Notamacropus eugenii: one gene and its partner. The protein of the gene in region 1 interacts with the protein of each later gene in a pairwise test. Links are inferred from orthologs where the notes say so. Each region holds a gene or a part of one and is shown in the gene's direction. Other genes may lie near its edges.

Region 1 (10,241 bases):
TGGGTATATCTAGGAAGAAAGATAAGTTCAGCTCTGAATATGTTGAGTGTAAGACAACCAGTTCAAGAAATCAAATAATTATTTACATGTAACATACATTCTATCTATTATATGCAACTCTGCTTGCTACAAATTATTTCTCTGTGCTTGGAATTTATGTGATTGGTCTACTATATGAGATATTAACTGAACATTATATGTTCTTATGATATGTCTCAGGGATAATTGTGATTTTTTTCATACAAATCAATGGATATTTTATGAAGTATAACTGTATATATTCACCAAGTGTGATTTGTAGGGAGTGAAATTATTTTTATCATGGGTCGGATTTAATAGGGGTACATATGATTGAAGGGACTACATTTTTCATAAGACCCTCAATTCAACATCAAGCCTAATTGATATTCCTAGGACTTCATTTCCCAGGAAAAGCTATGCCTTTGCTACAGAGGTGGAGAGGGAAAAAACCTCCTTCAGGAGAGTGACAGAGAACTCTGGGTAGAAGGAAAAAGTGCAGCCATATGGGGAGAGACTGTACTACCACTGTGCAGGAGCTCAGGAGTCCTGACATGTTTCTGAGACCCCAGTGAGCAACATGAGCAGACAACTGGGCTGTGAGAAGGTGCTGAGACTGCCTTGGGGGAAAAACTGAGCCATGAAAGTTGATGATCTCATCAAGTGAAATTTTGGAGAAAGAGAATCTGATACTGAAAGAGACAGAGAGGGAGAAAGGGGATGGAGAGACAAACAGAGACAGAGGCAGAGAGGGGTGTAGGGGGAGAGAGAGGGAGAGAGAGAGAGAGAGAGAGAGAGAGAGAGAGAGAGAGAGAGAGAGAGAGAGAGAGAGAGAGAGAGAAAGCACTTTCTATTCTCCTATTTTGGGGCCATGTGTCTTGGAGAATTTATTTTCCCAGGCTGTTCTGGTAGGAAGTAAGAAGTGGGAATGAATTTTTACTTATTTGAGAATGGTTTGAGATATGGTATTTGAGAATGGTATTTGAGATAGGTTTTCCTGTAGTCCTGACTAAATGTTTAACTTTTGAAAAGCATGCTCCTTGGCCAGTCTGCTGGTAAGATGCAAACTGAGTTTAAATAATTTTTAGAGGTTCCCAGTTGAACTATGATGGAGTCCCTGTTAAGGTACACTTATTCCTCAAATTACCCCACTTTGAACCTAGGAGTTTGTGTGAATCCATAAGTTGAGAGGAACACAGAGGAGGAAAGAAAGCAAAAAAAGAGAAAAAGGACAGAAAAAAACAGAGGAAGAGGAAGAAAAAAAGAAAGGAGGAAGAAGGATGAAAAGAAGAAAGTGAAAGGGGGAAAGAGAAAAAAGAAAGACAAAGAAAGGAAGAGAAAGAAGGAAAGAAAGGGAAAGAGAAAGAGAAAGGAAGAAAGGAAGAAAGGAAGGAAAGGAGAAAGGAAGGAAGAAAGCAAGTAAGGACTAAGGAAATGTCTTCCTTATTGCATTCGGTTTTTCCAACCAGGTGTTTATCTTAGCCTCTGTCTCAGAGGCACTCAATGCCCTGCCCAGACATGATCTCATTCATTCTCACCACATCCCTGGGAGGCAGGGAGGAGATTGGGATCATCATCCCCACTTTACAGACAGGAATACCTGAGGCCCAAACACTCACAAGGCAAATTAGTGTGGAATAGGTCTGGAATTTAGGCGTCCTGACTCACTGCCCCAGGACTCCCTGTTCTTGGCTAATGGGTTGACCCTGGGAGCCTTGAAAGAATCTGAATGGAGAATAGGTGGTGAGCTCTATGGTGGGCAATCCCTTATTAATTAATGAATCCATCACAGAACACCTACTGTGTGCCCAAGCCTATAGCCTCAGTAAGAATAGAAGAGGGTCTCTGTTGTGAGCGTGCTCCAAAATGCAAGTGCAGACAGGGAGAGTCTGGGCAAAGAGCCAAGGGAAGAAAGACAAGTGTGAACATGGGAATCCTTACAGGCAGAAGCAGCCTTTGGCGGTCACTGGACCAGGTAAGATGGATCAGATGCTTGAGGGTAAGGGGTGGGGAACACAGAAAGAGAACGGGAAGAATGTGGTGGGCATAGACTTTGTCCTGGGCACTGAGTGGACCCATAAAAAAATCCCAAAAGAATTCCCCCCAAAATGTGGACGCAGATGAGGAAGACTAGGAACTAGGACCACAGCTCTGAGCATTTACCCTAGGGGGCTCTTTGGGTACCCTCCCCTTCTTCTTCACTTAGCCATCATTTAATTCAACTCAATTCAATGAAACAAAGATTTATAACCTCTTCATCCTTCAAGTCTCAGCTCTGGAAAGTCAGATATCTATTTTATCTTTCTTTACAATGCTCTACTTAACAACAGATTAAATTTTTTTTCAATGAATGAATGAATGAGCAAACAAATGGTGAGTGAATGGGTAAGTATGGCAAAGAATTGATGAGTCATGAATAAATGATTAAATAGATGAGTGAACAAGTGAATGAGGAAATGTGCTAATGAGTAAATAAATGAGGGAAAAAGAGCTGTCCTCAATGAGTTTTTATCACCGGTCCAGAAGAACTACTCCCAGAGTAAAATAACTTGTAATGTGAGTGCTTAGCTATGGTTGATCATCTCTGAAAAATTTTGTAGAATGGGAAAGGTGCTGTAGAGTGGATACAAAGCTGGTTGAATGACTGTACTTTGCTTGCACTGATGTCTGAAGTTTAATGGCCACAGACAGGGATGTCCTAGCATTTAACAAACACTTCTTTGGAGAAGAAAAAGCACATTGGATACACTTTTGGTTTTAATCTGAATTATTAACATTTTCTCCATAACTTTCTTAAATCTGGACAATCTACAAAATGAGAAGTCAAGTCCTGGTTTGTAGCATTTTCCTAGTCAGTATGAACTGTCTCCACTGACTACAGGGATTTGTCATATCCACAACTCAACTCAATAAACATTTATTATAAATTATAAATAAAACATTTGTTAAGCCTCTACTTTGTGCTAAGTACAAAGACAAAAATGAAACAGACTCTGACCTTAATGAACTTATGTTTTATTGTGGGGAAAGAACATATATATGTGTGTATGTGTATGTATACACACATGCACACATGTATATACACATACATATATGCACACATATATGTATATATACAGATAAGCAAATGTGAAAAATATACAGTAAGCACAATCAGTGAGTCAATAATTATTTAATAATAGTTAGCATTTGTACATAGCACTTTAGGGTTGGCAAAGTGCTTTACAATTGTTATCTTACTTGATCCTCACAACAACCCTGGAAGGTTGGTGCTATTTTCATTTCTATTTTACAGATGAGGAAACTGAGGCAGTGAGAGGTTAAATTACTTGCTGGCTCACACACTTGGATTTGAACTCAGGTCTTCCTGACTCCAGACTCAGTGCTCTATCTATTGTGCCACTTAGCTGGTCAGAAAGGTGGCCAGCACTGTACTAAGTGCTGGAGATTAAAAAAAAGAGAGACAAGAAAAAAGAGACAAGCCCTTCCCTCAAGGGCCTAATTCTAATGGGATTAATGTAATTAATGGGATTAATCTAATGGGATTTTAATGGGAGAGAGTAGATGTAAATAACTAGGTACATACGAGAGAGAGAGAGAGAGAGAGAGAGAGAGAGAGAGAGAGAGAGAGAGAGAGAGAGAGAGAGAGAAAGTAATCTGACGGGGGGGGGGGGGGGGGGGGGGGAGCGAGGGGGAAGGGCCATTGAGAAAGTGGAATTTGAGTTGAAGAGCATTCCAGGCATGGGGGCAGCCAGTGCAAAGGCACAGAGGTGGGAGATGAATGTCTTATTCAAGGAAATAACTTCAAAGAGGCCATTGTTTCTGGATCATGAGGGGGAGTAGGGTATAAGAAGACTGGAAAGTTAGCAATGGGCCAAGTTGTAAGAGGCTTTCAATACCATAGGATTTTATATTTGATTCTGGAGGTAATAGGGAGGCATTGCAGCTTTCTGATCAAGGGGGTGACATGGCCCCCTGTATTTCATGAAAATAATTTGGCAGTGATTGAAGGATGGATTGGATTGGAAAGAGACCTGAGGCAGGGAAACCACTACCAGGAGACTGGTGATGAGGGCCTGGATGGCTGCATGAGTAGAAAGAAGGGGATGTGCTGGACAGATATTGAGAAGTGAGAAATGACAAGACATGGCAATGGACTGGATATATAGGGTGAGGGAAAGTGAGGAAGGGGAGATATGCTGAGATTTGAGAGCCTGGGTGACTGGAAGAATGGTGGTGAGTCTCTCCCCCACTCCCACACCTAAGACTGAAGGAATAGTGAATTTATTAAGCCCTTACTATGTACAAAGCTCTATGCTAAGTGCATAGGGAAGTCTGGAAGAAGAGGATTTGGGGAAAAGAAAATGAATTCTATTTTGGAAAGGTTGAGTTTGAGATGCCTAGAGGCATCACAAAAACCTGGGGAGGTAGGTGCACTTATGATCCCCATATCACAGATGACAGAGAAGTTTAATGACTTGATGTAGGTATTTGTGGAGGGGGTGGTTAGAGATTTGGAGAGCAGAAAACAGAATAAAGTTGAACTGGTTTTACTCTAATGTGAACACTGGGAAAGAAGGTAAATAGGGCCACAGTACTGGCTGAGGAAATGGGAGAACTGGCATTGCAGACTCAGGTGAGGAAGAGCACTTTAAGAGGGGTGAAGCTTGGGGAAGGGTGGAGAGGTTTGGGTCAGACAGGGGAATTTGGGGATTCTGGTATAACCAACATTCATGGATGATGATGCCATTGACGGATGCCCAGACTTTGGCCCTGTGCTGTTTTCAGATTTTTATCAATGACTTGGATGAAGGTATAACTGGTTTGCTTATCAGATCTGTAGATGACATAAAGATGGAAGGGAGAGTGGTTGGGTGACAAGAACCAGGAGCCTATTCAGGGCATTTGGACCGGAGCTATGGTTTCACTGATACAGTAACCCTAATATGAGGAAACTCCCTATGTCAAAGAAAGTCAACGCTTTGGCTTATTATAGTCCCAGCTGCCAAGGGCGCCTAGAGGTGAAATGACTGGTCCTGGTTCCCCTAGCCGATGTGTCGGAAGGCTAATAGCAGTCATGAGAATGAGCATTCATACTGCAATTCAAGGTCTGCAAGGTCCTTCACAAACATTACACCACTGGATCTTCACAGTCCGGAGAGGTCTGTGCTACGTTACCTCCATTTTACAGATGAGGAAACTGAGGCAGGCAGTTCAGTGACTTGCCCGGGGCCACTCCGGTATCGCAATAACCCTTCCAAGTTCGCCAGGTGCTTTATAAATGCCATCTCACCTGGCGCTGGGAGGTGGGCGCTCTTCCCCTCACGTCCCGAGGACGGAGCAGGTGGGACTTTAAGGCTGGTCTCCTGACCCCGGGCCGGCGCTCTGGCTACCGCACCGGGAGAGCGCGGGAGCCAGACTCTGGACCAGCCGAACGGACCAGGTAACGACCGTCCGCCCCTCCCAGCCCGCGGCCCGCGGGATGCTCTCCGCGGTGACGCGGCCCGGCAGAGCCCCAGGCTGCCCGGCACGTCCAGGGCTGCACGGACGCGCGTAAAGCCACTCGCAGGATCAGACACGCAGAGGCGCGGGGGGGGTGGCGGGGTCAGGCGCCTGTTCGTGAGAAGGCTCGCGGCCCCCGGGGGCGCGCGTGGGCAGACCAGCGCTAGCCCCGAGCTCGGAGGCCAGGGGCACCCCGCGGCCGCGACTTGGGGGTAGACAAAGACAAGCGTTCGGTTCGCAAGCGTCCAAATTCCAAGGACTACCGGGCGCGGTGGGGGCGGGGAAGGAATCGGAGCTGCGGGCTCGAGCCGGCTCCCAGCGTCCGAAGGGCCGACCTGGGGAAAGGCACTGACCCAGTTCTGAGGGGCGCCAGGCGATGCAGGGGGCAGCTTTAGGGGTGCCCGAGGGAGGAGGGCGGCAGTGGCTGCGTCGGACTGGGGTGCAGGGGGGAGGGCGAAGTAGACAGCGGGGGTGCGGTAGGCAAAGGTCAGGGGGAGCTGTCACCGCTTTTTTGTGACGTCACTCCGAAGCCGTCCTAGGCCTCACCCACCCGCCTCTGTGGGTGACGTCATCTGCTATCCGCAGGGGGCGGTGACGTCATCACGCCGCCGGAGGGAGAAGCGAAGGGGGCAGCGCAAGCAGGGAAAGCGGAAGTCTGAGCGGTCACTCCTCAGACTCGGCTCCTTTAAGAACAGTCTCCACCTCCGGAAGGCCAATGGCCAATGGAGGGGCCGGGACGGCTAACGTCATAACAGCGGGGGTGGGGAGGGCACGCCTGGGTCTCCCGGGAGAGGTGGGGCCGGAGGAGGGAACCCGAGCAGGCCCTGATTTCCCCTCCCCCTCTAACTCCCCCCACTCGTCCGACTGGGCCTGAGCCTTCCCGAGGGCCGATTCTGGCCTTGACCCTGACCTTGACCTTGCCCTCTCTGCGCCCTTAGCCCCTAGCTCCAGTCTGTCCCGTGTGTCCCCCGGGATCCGTTTCCTTTGAACCCAAATTTTCCATCTTGGTTCCTGGGGCTCCACCTGAGTCCAGAGTCCCTGCTCCACCCCAACCACACCCCCCCACGTGATCCAGTCTGGGTCTCAGCCTCTCCCCTGCATCCCTCCCCACCCCCACCCTCCACCCCCGCCCTTGCCAATGGCATCCTCAGGCCTGGCAGGGGACCTGAGGGCCGTGCTGGGGGGCCAGGGGCTGCCGGTGCTGGACTATGACTCTGTACCGCTAAAGGTCTCACCTGTGCCCGTGCAGCTCAGGAAGAATGTCTCCTATATCGTGCTGGCTGTCTTCTTCAACGACCAGGTGAGAGGCAGCCAGGACCCTGACTCCAAAGTCTTTGGGACCCCAGACACCCCAAGATAGAGGACCCCAGAGCCCGGGCCCATGTAACCCATGGGCTTAGGAAGGAGAGACGAGGAGAGGCCCCCCTCATTGGCGAGGTGCTGACCCCGTTTTCATTCAGCATTGTATTACGTGCCCTGCAGGAGTGACACCCAAAGAAGTCTAACATTCACCCCAAACATTGACTGAGTGTCTGCTGGGCACAGCGCACCGCGCTGGCTGCCACAGGGTGCAAGCACGGAGAATTCTAGTCACCATTTATTGATTAAACACTCGCTCACCGTAAGCTAAGGAGACCGAGAGGAGAAACAAGATACCATCCCTACCCTCAGGGAGCTCACCTGTCGGCACTTGCAGGTGGGAGTGTGATAAACGTATAGGAAAGATGCAGACCAAACGTTTAGAGAAAGCTCCATGACTGGCTCCATGAGCCGGGTCTTGAATAAAGAGGGAAACCTTAGCAGTTGTCCAGCTGTTCAGGAAGGATTTAGTAAGCACCCACTATGTGCCACATGTTGGGGTTACAGAGATAAAAAGATAAAACTGTCCCTGCCCTCAGGGGTTTGTATTCTACTCGGGGGAAATAAATGCTTATTGAATAGATATAGGGGGAGGAGAGTGAGAACAGGCATTTATTAAACATCTACTGTGTACCACATGCTGAGGTTATCCAAAGATAAAAGGACAAAACACATCCTGCCTTCAAGGGGCTTATATTTTATTGGGGTAAATAAATGTTTATTGAACTGACATGGGGAGATTAGAACAGGTATTTTTTAAACCACTGCTGTGTGCCAAGCACTTTACAAATATCGTCTTGTTTGATCCCCACAACAACCCTGGGAGGTAAGTACCACCATTGTCCTCATGTTACTGTTGAGGAAACTTCGGTAGATAGAGGTTAAGTGACTCGACTAGGGTCGCACATAGTAAATACCAGAGGTCAAATTTGAACTCAGATCTTCCTGACTGCAGACCTAGTGATCTATTACCACTTAGCTGCCTCAAGGGGAGGAGGAATAACTAAAGATTACTGAGGTTTACGGTCTTTTGTGACTGGGAGGGTGTTAGTATTATTAACAGAAATACAGAAATCAAGAAGGGCAGGTTTTGGAGGTAGGATGATGAGTTCAGTTTAGGACACACTGACTTTGAAGTCCTGACAGGACATCTTGATATGGGAGGTACCCACAGGCAATTGGAAGCCTTGGATTGGCATGCATGGGAGGATCAAATCTAGAGATAAAGATTTGGGAGTCATCTGCCTTGGGGTGAAAATGGGAGCCATGAAAGTTGATGAAATCATCAAGGGAAACTTTATAGAAAGACAGGCAGATCCTGAGAGAAACAGAGAGTGGAAAGGGGAGGGGGGGAGAGGCAGATCCTGAAAGATACAGAGAAACAGGAGAGGAGAGAGGGGCAGATACTAAGAGAGGGAAAGAGAGAGAGGCAGAGTTGAGAAAGGAAGAGAAAGAGACAGTGATGGGGGTGGGACAGAGAGAGAGAGAGAGAGGGAGGGAGGGAAGGAGAAAGAGAGAGAGAGGGAGAGAGAGAGAGAGAGACAGAGACAGAGAGAGAGAGACAGAGAGAGAGAGGCAGATACTAAGAGATAGATATTGAGACAGAAGAGTCAGTTACTGGGAGATGGGAGAGATACTGAGGAAAAAGAGAAGTGAGGAACCTCCTCCCTCCACCCACCCTGTTTTTCAGGAGCTGGAAGAGGAGCCACCAGAGAGAGAGATTAAAAAGTGAATGGTCAAAAGGCAAGTTTAGAAGTGCATAACTATTCTTTCTAAAGAGGAAAGAAGAATAGTTTGAGGGCATAGCTGATTTAGAAGGGTGTTTGTTTGTTTTTAAGTTAGGAGAAACCTGGATATGTTTGTAAGTAAAGGAAAGGCGTCACTAAAGAGGAAGAGACCAAAGATGGGAGAATATACATTTGATGCAGGTCCTGAAGAAGGAGGGAGGAGATGGGCCCAGGTGGCCAGAAAGGGAGGTCACCTCTTCCTCAGAGACCAGAGGAAAGGAACTGGGCCTGGGTCTGGGTATTACCACAGACTTTGAGGTGTGGAAGAGGGAAATTGAGGGAAGTTTCAGGCAGATGACCACCTAAGATTGGGGCCAACTACTGACAGTGAGTGGGATAGATTAGAATTGGGGGGTTTGAGGAGAAAGGAGTTTTGGAGTAGCTGGGGAGGGGAAGGTGATTTGGAATCAATAGACATAAATAGAATAATTGCCATGAATCAAGGGAAGTCCCAGTTGAGGGTTATTAGCATACATTTCTAGCACCCCATCAGGGGATTTTCATCACTTCTACTTTGTTAAGGCAGTTCAGGAATAGGAGCAGAGAAGGGAGCTCATCCTCATCTAGGATTTTAAATTAGGGCAAGAATGACAGAAAGTCAAAGGACAAGGTATTCAAGAATAAAGAAGAGTGGGACTTTGAAAGAGGTGATCATGTGGTTGACTGTGTAGGGAGACAAGTCAGAAGAGGATGTGGCTGAAAGAGGAAAGAATCAGGTGACCAGAGGTCATGAAAAGGAGACCTGGAGAAGTGGGAGTGATTTATGTCAGAGACAGGAAATTCATAGTTTATGATCTCAAAGGTGAAATAGTTTTAAGTAATGGCAAGGTCTAAGATTTGACCACCTAAGTGAGAGGCTGTGGTAAAGAGGTGATAGAGGTCATCGGAGCTGAGGCAGGGGAGAATTTGTGAGGCCTGAGGAATTAAAGTAACAAGGATGATGACAGCTGGCCATTTGAATAGCATTCTAAGGTTTAAAGTCAGTTGACAAGCATTTATTAAGCACCTCTGATGTGCCAAGTACTGTAGTAAGCATTAGAGATACAAAAAAAGGCAAAAAATCAGTCCCTTACTCCCAAGGAGCTCATACCTATTGGGAGAGTCAACCTACAAACAACTATGTACAGACAGACAGGATATGCATAGACAGGATAAATTAGAGGTGATCACCAGAGGGAAGGCAGAGTGGACTTGTACATACATATCTCATTTGATCTTCACTGCTCTGTGAGGTAGGATCATCAAAACAAGTCTGAGATGTTTCTTAATAATTTGAAATCTAGCAGGGAGGGGAGAACAGACGCACACTGGGAATAAGGCACAGGCCTGGTGTCTGGTACACCCAAAACCCTGGATAAGGCTCTGAAATCCTGGCACCTGTAGGTCTGCTTTTCAGAGAGAACTTGTTGAAATGGTGGGGAGTGAAAATATTTCAGACACCATAGAAGAGCAGGGGTAACCCAGTAAATAGTGCTTTGATGTTTCCCTGCCTGCTACATTCATCCCAACTCTGGTATTTGAGACACCTGTTAAGGTCCTGGATAGGAGGAGAGAAGGTCTTCATGCTTGACAAAC
Region 2 (10,155 bases), on another chromosome or scaffold:
GTGACCCTACAGAAGTCTTAACTTCAGTTTCCAGGATTGTAAGGTCATTTAACTTCTTAGTCCTACAGATAACTATGAAGGTGAGAGAGTTTTCTCAATAGGAACCTTCTACGAGGATGTAAACACAGGTTTAGAGAGGGAAGGGGAGGAAGGAAGGAAGGAAGGAAAGTTTTAACTGTATTTAACAGAGATGCAGTTGGAATCAGTGGATAAAAGACTGACTTTGGAGTCAGGCAAATCTGCATTCGAATCCTATCTCTATACTAAATGTTTGAGCCTGAGCAAGTCACCTAATGTCTTCCTGCTAAAGGCAATTAGCTTTCTAAAGCAAGAGTTCTAAACCTGGGGACTTTCTCACAGATTTCAGGAGGTCTGTGAACTAGTTTTTAGAAATATTTTGATAATTGCATTTTTTTTCCTACTCTCTTCTTTACTTTTTTGCTTTCCTTTCCTAGTTCTCTCCTTCCTGTCTTCCTTCATTTCCTGTCTTTCTACCTTCTTTCCTTTCTCTTCTTTTTAACTTCCTTCTTTCCTTCTTTTCCTTGCTTTCTTCCCCAGGGAGCTTGCCATTGGATCATAGACTATTAGAACCAGAAGGTCCCTTAAAGATGAGGTACTCCAGCCCCCTCCTTTTATAAATGAGAAAGCTGACACCCAGAAAGTTTGACTTGCCCAAGGCCACAGTAAGTAGCAGTAAAAACAGAGCTATATTTCAAACTCTGGTCTTTATGATTAGTGCACATGGGCAAGAGATCACCATTTCACAAACTCTTTTATTTCTTTATTAGATCTATTGTTTTGAGCTGTAACTGAAGCATCCCCAACTACAAAACTTACTCTCCCACTCCTCCAATTTGAATTATATTCTTACAAGCCATGTCCTTGCTAGAGCATAAAAGGGTCATACCCTTACATACTTCCTGCTTATCCCCCTCCCCCCCCCCATATTATAGAATCTTACAACCAATAGGATCAAAAAAGTAATTTAGCCTTTGGCAACTGGTGGCACAGTGGTTACAGCACTAGGCCTGGAATCAGGACCTGCTTTCAAATCTGACTTCTTGTAATAAGATATTTACCAACAGTGTAATCCTAGACAAGCCATTTAACCTCTGTTTTCCTCAGGTTCCTCAACTATAAAATGGAAATATTAATAGCACCTACTAACAGGGTTGTAATATTTGTAAAAAAAAAAAAAAGTATCTGGCACTTGGCAAGCACTATATAAATCCTTATTCATTTCCCCATTCCACCCCTACCTCCTTCATTTAGTCTAAAACTGTCACCTTGCAGAGGAAATGGACCCAGAAACTATGCCAAAGGCTATAAAACCCTGTATACCCTTTGACCTACCACTACCACTACTAGGTTTGTATTCCAAAAAAATTAAAAAGAAAAAAGACCTATATGTACAAAAATATTTATAGCAGCTCTTTTCTGGGGGAGCAAAGAAATAGAAATTGAGGGAATGTCCATCATCTGGGGAATGGTTGAAAACATTTCGGTGTGTGACTGTGATTCAACATTATTGTGAGAAATGATGAGCAGGATACTCTTAGAAAAACCTGAAAAGACTTACATGAGCTGATGCAAAGTGAAATGTATTGTGCACAAAGTAACAGCAATAATGTAAGATTATCAACTGTGAATGACCTAGCTATTTTCAGCAAGATAATTATCCAAAACAACTCTGAAAGATATAGGATGAAAAATGCTGTCCATCCCAAGAGAAAACTGATGGTATCTGAATACAGATTGAAGCACACTTTTTTTTAACTTTATTTTTCTTGAGGATTTTTTAAAGTCTATGTTTTCTTTCACAACATGACTACTATGGAAATGTTTTATATGACTACACATGTATAAACTATATCTAATTGCTTGCCCTCTCAATGAGGGTGAGTGTGGGGTGGGGTAGGGTGGGGTGGGGAGGGATGAAGGCAGAGAATTTGGAACTCAAAGTTTTAAAAATGAATGTTAAAAATTGTTTTTACATGTTATTGGGGAAAAATAAAATGCTAAATAAATAATAAAATAAAATTGGAACAGTTAAGGACATGGAGCAAGAAAAGCAAAATGACTTGATATGAGGTATGTGAGTATTGAAATGGAAACTGGAACCTGATTTGGCTTCTTTTGCCTCTCTCTGCTCTAAAGGAAAAAAACTCAAAGGTAGAGGAGCACTGGTATTTATGTCCCAGGAGACGCTGAGAAGGAGAATCCAAGGGTTCAGGGATCCTCATCCCTTTTCTGAGGGGAGAGAGATTGATTAAAGGACATCCAGACTGCTGTTGGTGGGTGCAGAAATGTGGAAAAAATGCCAGCTTTGAGTTTCTCTAATTACCTTGGGATTCAGAAAGACAAACCAGTCAAACTTTCCTTCTCCATACACTCTCTAGGACTGGCTTTCTTTAGAGTTTGGGTTGGGATTCTCATGCATGGGCTGGTTAACTCAAATGGCTACGATGCTATGGATGCAAAGGTTACAGGTACAGTTCTACAGCAGGTTTGTTTGATTCTCAATCCACTCTATGGTCCTGGAATGCAGCCCCAAAGCCTAGGACCCCTATACCATGAGTCAAACTGTGGATTAGTGTAATTCATCTTTACTTTCAGGAATCAACCAAAAGAGATAACAAAAATACCCCAAACCTTTAAGAATAGATTAATATCCTTATTATATTGGGAAATCCTCTGTAACATCGTATTTTAAGAAAGTGTTTCCTGTTCTCTTTTATCTTAGTCCCTTCTCTTTATACATGGCTTGTTTGTACATAGTTTACACATAGCTATTTGCCTATTGTTTCCCCATCAAAGTTTGAGAACAAAGACTGTCAGCCTTTTGCCTTTTTTTGGAGACTCAGCATTTAGTAAAAGTGTCTGGCACACAGCAGGTACTAAACAAATACTTGTTGATTTAAGGAGCTGATTCTTCTAGTTCTTTTTATCCCAAGATTTATTAAAAGTACTCTGTAGTACTCTGTGCTTAAAGTGGGCGGTGATGATGACATTTGACAGTGAACAACAAATTTTGGCATCTAAAAATTTATAATTATGGGCAATATGCTAATTGTGATTGATGATGAACTTATTTTGATATTGTATTGAAAGTTTATAAAGCCATCAGGAATTAATGATGTTATATAAGTTCCCGGAGGACAGGAACCTTTTCATTCTCTTGGTTTTGAATGCAAAAGCACCTAGTTAACATGAATGAATAAATGAATCATCTCACTAACGGCTTGAAGTCCTTATAGACACGTAAAGCAAAACAAATAAAACTCTTTGGCCTCCTCTTTCAAGAACTGAACATTCCAAAGTTTCATCATTTTTTTTTTGTTTGCTTTTGTTTGTTTTTTAGAATCTCCTCATTTCCCCTCACAGAAAAGTAAAATGTCAAATTTGGAAGGGACCTTTTAATTCAACTCCCTTATTTTATAGTTGAGGAAAACTGAGACCCAGAAGAGTTGCATAACTTAATCAAGGTCACATAGGAAAAGAATTAGAAGAGGAGAAAACTGAATTCAGGTCTCCTGATTTGGAGAATAGTAGCACTTTCCCCTCTATTAAGGCCACACAGAGCTCTACACTCAAACACGACTAAAAATTCTTAGCTCTTAGATCCTTTCACTTCCTTCCCTTGCATTTATTTGCTTTTTCCGAACTTCTCAAGTACTGAACAATCCTATTTTAAATGTACACAAGGTATGTTACTTTAACAACTTTTAAAATGAATTCTTATCCGCATTTTAGGGAATGGTGATTCTGAGGACTCAGAGAGGTCAAGTATGGGTGCCTGTGGTCCCTCACAGGACAGATTTCTCTTGCATGGCTTGGACATTCAGCGGAAATGTTTCCCCGTTTTTTTCTTCCAAATCAAGAAGTCAGGGCAAAATTCTACTTTCTTCAAGCTCCTTGAGCAAGTGGTTTGCCAAGTCTTAAAACTTCCTAAAGATGAATTGCTATTAATGATCAATTGGGTTTCTAGTGACTACGTAACAGTACCATTCATTTGGTTAATATATCAAATAGCACTTCTTGCACTTTTACAGATTGTGTACTTTTCAAAGGGCTTTCACACACTAGTGAGGTAGGTACTTTGGAGAAGTTATTATCCCCATTTTACAGAGAGAATTTTAGGGGCTCAGAATCAATGAAATTAGGAGTGAAAATGGGGCAAGAGGAAATTCCCCTCCATGCTTGGAGCGTCGGCTCCTCGTTTTTCTGAAAACATTCATGCACATTTTGAAAGGGCTGGGCTGGTCACTTTCCAAGAACATTTGGGAGAGAAACAAACCAATCAACCCACAACCTCCAGGCTTTAGGAATCCCTGTGGATTTATTCTGGTCTCTATCCCTCCTCCCCCAGGCTTGCTCGTCCGTACGGGCTGCCACCCAGCCAAGTCTCACACCTTTACCCTATCTCCTTCCTGGGCCTGTGTCTCTCTCCAATTTAAAGGGGAAGAGCTGAAACCGCAAAGAAAGCGCTTGAAGCAAATGCCTCCCTCGTGGTGGGGGCAGCATCTGCACAGCACAATTCTGCTGGAAGGGTGGGGAAGTTCTCGGCTCATTTCAACCCTGCCCCGGTTCTTGGGGGGTGGAGAGCCCCAGAGCGGGAGGCGTAATCGGAGGTCTCACAGAAGTTGCACAGACGCTCCCGGGTGCAGAGCGGAGTGGGCGATTTGGCAAAAACAGGGGTGAAGGAGGGCGCGGCCCAGCTACCCCACACTGCGCCAGGTTCTTGAGCTTTGCGTTCCGCGGAAAAGGGGGTGGGGGGAGAGAACACAATATGCTGATTGCCTGGCAGGGGTCGGGCTGCGGCAGCAGCTGGAGGGAAGTCCCTGGTCCGGGCAGCCGAGGTTGTTTTTCTCTCCTCTCTCTCTCTCTCCCTCTCCCTCTCTCTCTCTCAGCTGCAGTGGGCGGGGTTCTCCCCGGGCGGGCCAGGCGCGAGCTGGATCGGATGACCCTCCCCACCCCCGGCCCTGCTTTCTCTCTCTTCTTCTCCCACCCAGCCCGCCCCATCCCCCACTTCCCTTTCTTTCTTCTCCGCCCCCTGGGCAGGCACCACCCCCTGCCCAATGGCCTGGACCGTTTCGCCCCTCATCAGCTGAGCAGGTCGGGCGCTGGGCTGCGGGAAGCCAATCAGGGCTGGCGGGGGCCGGCCCTGCGCGGGGAATAAATGGAGCTAAGCGGGCTGGCGAACCGGGCAGAGCCGAGGATGGAAGCGGCTGACTGTTCTGTAGCCACCGGAGCCATCTGCACGGCCACCCCCTAGAGTCTCCGACCAGCCCCGCCAGCCAGCGAGCCCGCGGAGCGATCGGCCTGTGCCCTCCACCTTGACAGCTGATTTCCGCGTCTTACAAGACCCAGGTAACCACCCAGCCCACCCCGAGCCCTCTCTAGAGGGGCGGGGAGGGACCCCGCAAAGGATGTTTTTCAAAACTTGTCTTTTCCCAACCCCGCCTCCCCGCCCGAGCCCCGAGGTCTTTCTTCTTCCCCCTTACGCCTCCCTCCTTGGTGCACAAGTCGCCCCGAAGCGTGCAAGAATGCCTTCTTGTTTCCAAGGATTGTGCTGATGCTGGGCGCTCTATGGAAAGACTTGGGCGGGGGTAGGAGGGGGAAGAGGATTGTTTTTCTTGGTGTCCTCAGGACCTCCCCAAGGGCCTTTTCGATGGTCGCCCCCGCATGCACAGTGCTTTTAGACGTTGGGGTCCAATGTTTGAGTATCCGGACTGGGATTGCGACGTTTCTGTTTGATCTTCTTTGTGGGAGTGAAACCCAGAGATTGTGTTTGGGGTTTCGCGTTCTTCTAGGAGGAGGGGAGGAGAAAGCTTTTCGGGATTTTGTTCTAAAATTTTATTGGAAAGGGAGTGGCCGGCCTGGTCACAGCTCAGTTACTTGTGCACCACCTCGGCGGCTTGCAACCGCGGGATAGGTCCCGGAGAAATTCCGGGGCAATTCGAGGCTTCCATTTGTGACCAAACAATGGGACCTCCCGAGCTGCTGCGTTACCTTGAGAGTCGGCGGAGACTGGAAGAGGCCAGAGACAGAAGGCAGCCGGCCTGGCCTCTTTTACATTCTGCCTGGCTGCCTCACCCTCCCCCCGGCACCCTCTTCTCTAAGGAGGGGCATGCTCCTTCTTACAGTTCTCTCTCTGTAAGATCGTAAAATCAGGAGCTGGAGGGGAGGGGCGGGGGGTGGGGGGCAGGGGGTCCATCTCCTTGCCAACCACTGGAAGGGAAAGAAGCGAGGGGTAAAGGGAGGGAGAAAAGGGTGGAAAGCCCAGAAGACTCGGGGTCATCCGCCTCCTCGTACAGCTCCTATATTCCTCGGACGTTGAAGTCAGAGGGGACCCCTTTAGTGATTATGAAGGCAGTTTCCTCCCAGACTATTTCTCCTCGATCGATATCCCCGCACCTGGTTTCACGATCCTCTTCTCCTCGGGCCCGGAGGGGAAAGGGGGAAAAGCGAAATCACAGCGATCAGTATGAGACCAGCGACTATGAGGAAAGGCATGGGCAGAAGCTGAAAAAGAGACGGTTGAAGCGTAGGCCTAATCAGATCGATTTCCTTATCCCACAATGGCCGGGGTGAGTGGAGAAGAGGAGGAGACGGGGGGGGGGGGGGGGGGGGGGGGGGGGCGGGGGGGCGGTGATCTCGAAGAAAGAAGAGAGAAAAAATTCGGGAAAGCAGCAGCTTCCACCCCAGACCACTTTTAAGGCCCTACAGGTGTTCCTGCCTAATGTGGTTTAGCCTGAGGTTAAAACGCTGAAGGAAAAACTCCTTGGCCAATAGAGGAAGTATACTTTGTCTTTAAAAAAAAGTGCCCCGGGATGAATTGACTAGACTTGTGTTTTTTTCCTTTCTTTTTTGAAGAGGACCGTGGCATCAGCGAAATGTTGACATGACTTGCAGTAGACTTTGATTTGAGTGAGGTTCTGTGCAAGGTCACCAGCCTCACTTTCTCCTCCAGAGTCATCTGTTTCTGGTGACCAGACAGACCTCAGGATGACTAGAGATGGCCAAGGAAGCAGTGGGACACCCTTGCCCTTTTAGGCTGAGGTCTTTTGAGGTACTCAAGTGAGTTAAGGGTCATTCAGTGAATAGGACTAGACTTGGTAAGTTAGTGGAAGGGAGGTCTCCTGGAAAGAGTCCAAGGAGAAATGGAATTTCCCTGGTATTGTTGGAGAAGCAGTTGAGGTATTGACCCGACCATGTGAATTTCCCCCCAAAGTCTTGACTGAGTAAGTGGGAACTGGGTTGTGGTTACCTATGGAAACTGTTGCTTCTGTGTTCAAAGTTATCTTTGGTAGATCTCACCAACCACTCTGCCCTTCTAATTGTATTTTCTCCCTTGATTTGGGAGATTTCTTTAAAAGAAGCTTGAACTGTATGCTTGGGTGCTCTCTGGTTTTTCAGGACTCCTTCATCTTTTGATTAGACTAATACTTGACCCATGTTCTGGACATGGGAGTTTTCCTGACTGATTTGAAGTTAGCCCTAGTGGGGGCAGGATGTGGGTTGGTAGATTTGGATTTGATCCCAACTTTTAAATCTGATGGTTGCTCCTTCACTACTTCAGTGGAATGAAGAAAAATGCCATCTCCCTGTCTTAAAAGCTGTGTAATGGGTCAATAAACTATCTGTACCGTTGGGTACATATAAGGCACTATAAGCCTTTCCATTTATTGATCCTTCCTTTGGAAACCTGCTGGCCTTCTAATTTTTAAAGTTTTTCTCCAGGCACACCTCCCTTTTCTGTTAGGTATTTAGAGAATTTGTGGCTTTGTTAATGCCTGAGAGAAGCGGCATAATTGATAACTGATTCAAACATCTGTGTATCTCTATGCAGGGAGCTACCATCTCTGAAGCCTTCCTTGATTTCCATCCACCCAGCTGCCAGTGTGTTCTTTGATTTACTATATATGTTCCATTATTCTGTGTACACCTGTAATCCCAATTAAAGAAGCTCGGAGTAGGGGCTGTTTTGGTTTTGTCTTTTATGTCCCTAAGACCTACCTTAGTACTTTGCTTTATTCATTTAACAAATATTTGAAAGACTAATTGACTGAAAGCTTGGGAGTTAATGCTTTGGATATGATTTACCTGTCTGGGTAAATCTGCTTTTCTGAGGAATCCTAGCAACAGATCAGCTTGGGGTCAGTGTTCTCATGTTTTCTTTCTTTTTACCTCCCTTCCTGTCGTCTTCTCTTCCCTCTCTTTAACCAGGTCAACTTCCAACATGGCCACCTCAGCCAGTTCTCACTTGAACAAAAATATCAAGCAGATGTACCTGAACCTGCCTCAAGGGAACAAAGTCCTGGCCATGTATGTTTGGATCGATGGCACTGGTGAGGGACTTCGCTGTAAGACTCGGACCCTAGACAGTGAACCGAAGAGCATTGATGGTAAGAGGAAATCCATCCCTGCAGCTACCCTTTCTTTCCATGTTTCTTCTGTCCAAAGCATTTACCTTTGACTGTTTTGTATTGTGTATATCAGACTCTGAACACTTGAGCAAAACCTATGCTACCCTTAGCCTAATTCCTACCAGATTAATTTTTATTGTATTCCAATTGAAGACAAAAGAATGGGGGCCTCTTATTTAAATCAAAATCTGCAAGAGAAGAGTTGACCCACTCCATTGGCTACTAACACTATATTAGTAATTAAAAATCTCTGATCCTGGTGAATTGGTCTCACCTTCAGTTTGCTTCCTGTGCAAATCCAAGGGCAGTCCTAATAATAGTTGGCATCTGCAGACCTTTAAGATTGCTAAGTGCTTTATATTCATGTCATTTTAGCCTGTGAAGCAGGTATAGTTAAACCTTTTTTACACATGAGGAGTTTTAGATGTTAAGTGGCTTGTACAAGATCAGAATGTACAGAATGAGAATAGGATAGTGACTCCAACTACCTTAGAATATAATTTTTCTTACTGAGGAAGAATAGGGTGAATGGTAAGGGGGAAAGACACTTGGGCAAAGTATAAAATAGTAAAAACCTTTGTAATTTATAAATTAGGGCAGCTAGGTGGCTCAGTGGCTAGAACACTGGCCTAGAGGCAGGAAGACTTGGGACACTTACTAGCTTTGTGACCCTGGACAACAAGTCACTTACCATGTTGGCCTCAGTTTCCTCACCTGTAAAAGGAGCCAGAGAAGGAAATGACAGTACCACTCCAGTATCTTTGCAAGGAAAACCCCAACAGGAGTCATGAAGAGTCAGACACAACTGAAAAATGACTAAATTACTTACAGTTAAAGTACTTAAATTATTTGTACTTTGAGCAAAGTTTTTTACTGAAGGCTCTGGTTTTGGAATCATAAGAGTGCCTGAGGTTGAATATACTGTTTCCCTTACCTACTTGTGTAGACATTGGGGTAATAGCTTTCCTTTGAAGATCATTTTCCTCATCTGTAACATGAGGAGGTTGGATTAGTTGATCTCTGGCCCTTCCAGGTCTAAATCTGTGACTAGTAAGAACTCTTCCTGGTTAATCTCTTGTCTTTCTCTTTTTTCTCTTATCACAAGAATTCATTCTTTCTACGGGGAAAAAAGAAACAATTAGGTGGGAAGGTTGGGAATAATAATCCAGACTGAAAAACGTACATCTTTTAATGGAATTGATTGTCTTACCTCCTACCTCTTCTCTCCCTATTCCTCCCAGAACTACCTGAATGGAATTTTGATGGCTCTAGCACTTTTCAGTCCGAAGGCTCTAACAGTGACATGTACCTTATTCCTGCTGCTATGTTCCGAGACCCCTTCCGAAAGGACCCCAACAAACTGGTTTTCTGTGAAGTTTTCAAGTATAACCGCAAGCCTGCAGGTAAGGATTAGTTATTTTTTCTCATCTGACAGGGAATGAGGGGAAGCCCCCTCTCCTCCCCATTCAGAATGATTTGGATTTTAGCAAGGTATAGTGATTAATAAACTCTTGCTCTTGGAGAGCAGGAGAACCAAAAGAAGCTATTGTAGTAGTTCATGTAAGGGTCATGAGACCCTGAATGAGGAGCCACTCTCTAAATAAAAAGTGACTAAATGGGAGAGATATTGTAAAGGTACGAAATACAAGGGTTAACATTTCTTAGCATCTCCCTAGAGGAGAGGATAACAGGGGAGCTCATTAAGATCAGAAATAGAGGGGGCTAA

The links.
Region 2: the proteins of NUDT18 (region 1) and GLUL interact in a two-hybrid assay, tested with the Homo sapiens proteins (2 studies listed by BioGRID and IntAct). The two-hybrid records come from large-scale screens. The link is inferred for Notamacropus eugenii from reciprocal best matches to the Homo sapiens genes NUDT18 and GLUL.

What each region holds. Positions count from the first base shown.
Region 1 is NC_092872.1:612,588,305-612,598,545, forward strand, and holds the start of NUDT18 (8-oxo-dGDP phosphatase NUDT18), read left to right. Parts: upstream 1-6,017; 5' UTR 6,018-6,222; coding exon of another isoform or gene 6,223-6,270; 5' UTR 6,271-6,658; coding exon 6,659-6,820; intron 6,821-6,826; exon of another isoform or gene 6,827-7,216; intron 7,217-7,222; exon of another isoform or gene 7,223-7,705; intron 7,706-8,569; exon of another isoform or gene 8,570-8,622; intron 8,623-10,241. Other genes in the region: uncharacterized protein, read right to left, coding at 5,312-6,017, 6,223-6,270. UniProt on the Homo sapiens protein: Mediates the hydrolysis of oxidized nucleoside diphosphate derivatives. Hydrolyzes 8-oxo-7,8-dihydroguanine (8-oxo-Gua)-containing deoxyribo- and ribonucleoside diphosphates to the monophosphates. Hydrolyzes 8-oxo-dGDP and 8-oxo-GDP with the same efficiencies.
Region 2 is NC_092873.1:462,942,051-462,952,205, forward strand, and holds the start of GLUL (glutamine synthetase), read left to right. Parts: upstream 1-6,007; 5' UTR 6,008-6,366; coding exon 6,367-6,590; intron 6,591-8,229; coding exon 8,230-8,408; intron 8,409-9,670; coding exon 9,671-9,832; intron 9,833-10,155. UniProt on the Homo sapiens protein: Glutamine synthetase that catalyzes the ATP-dependent conversion of glutamate and ammonia to glutamine.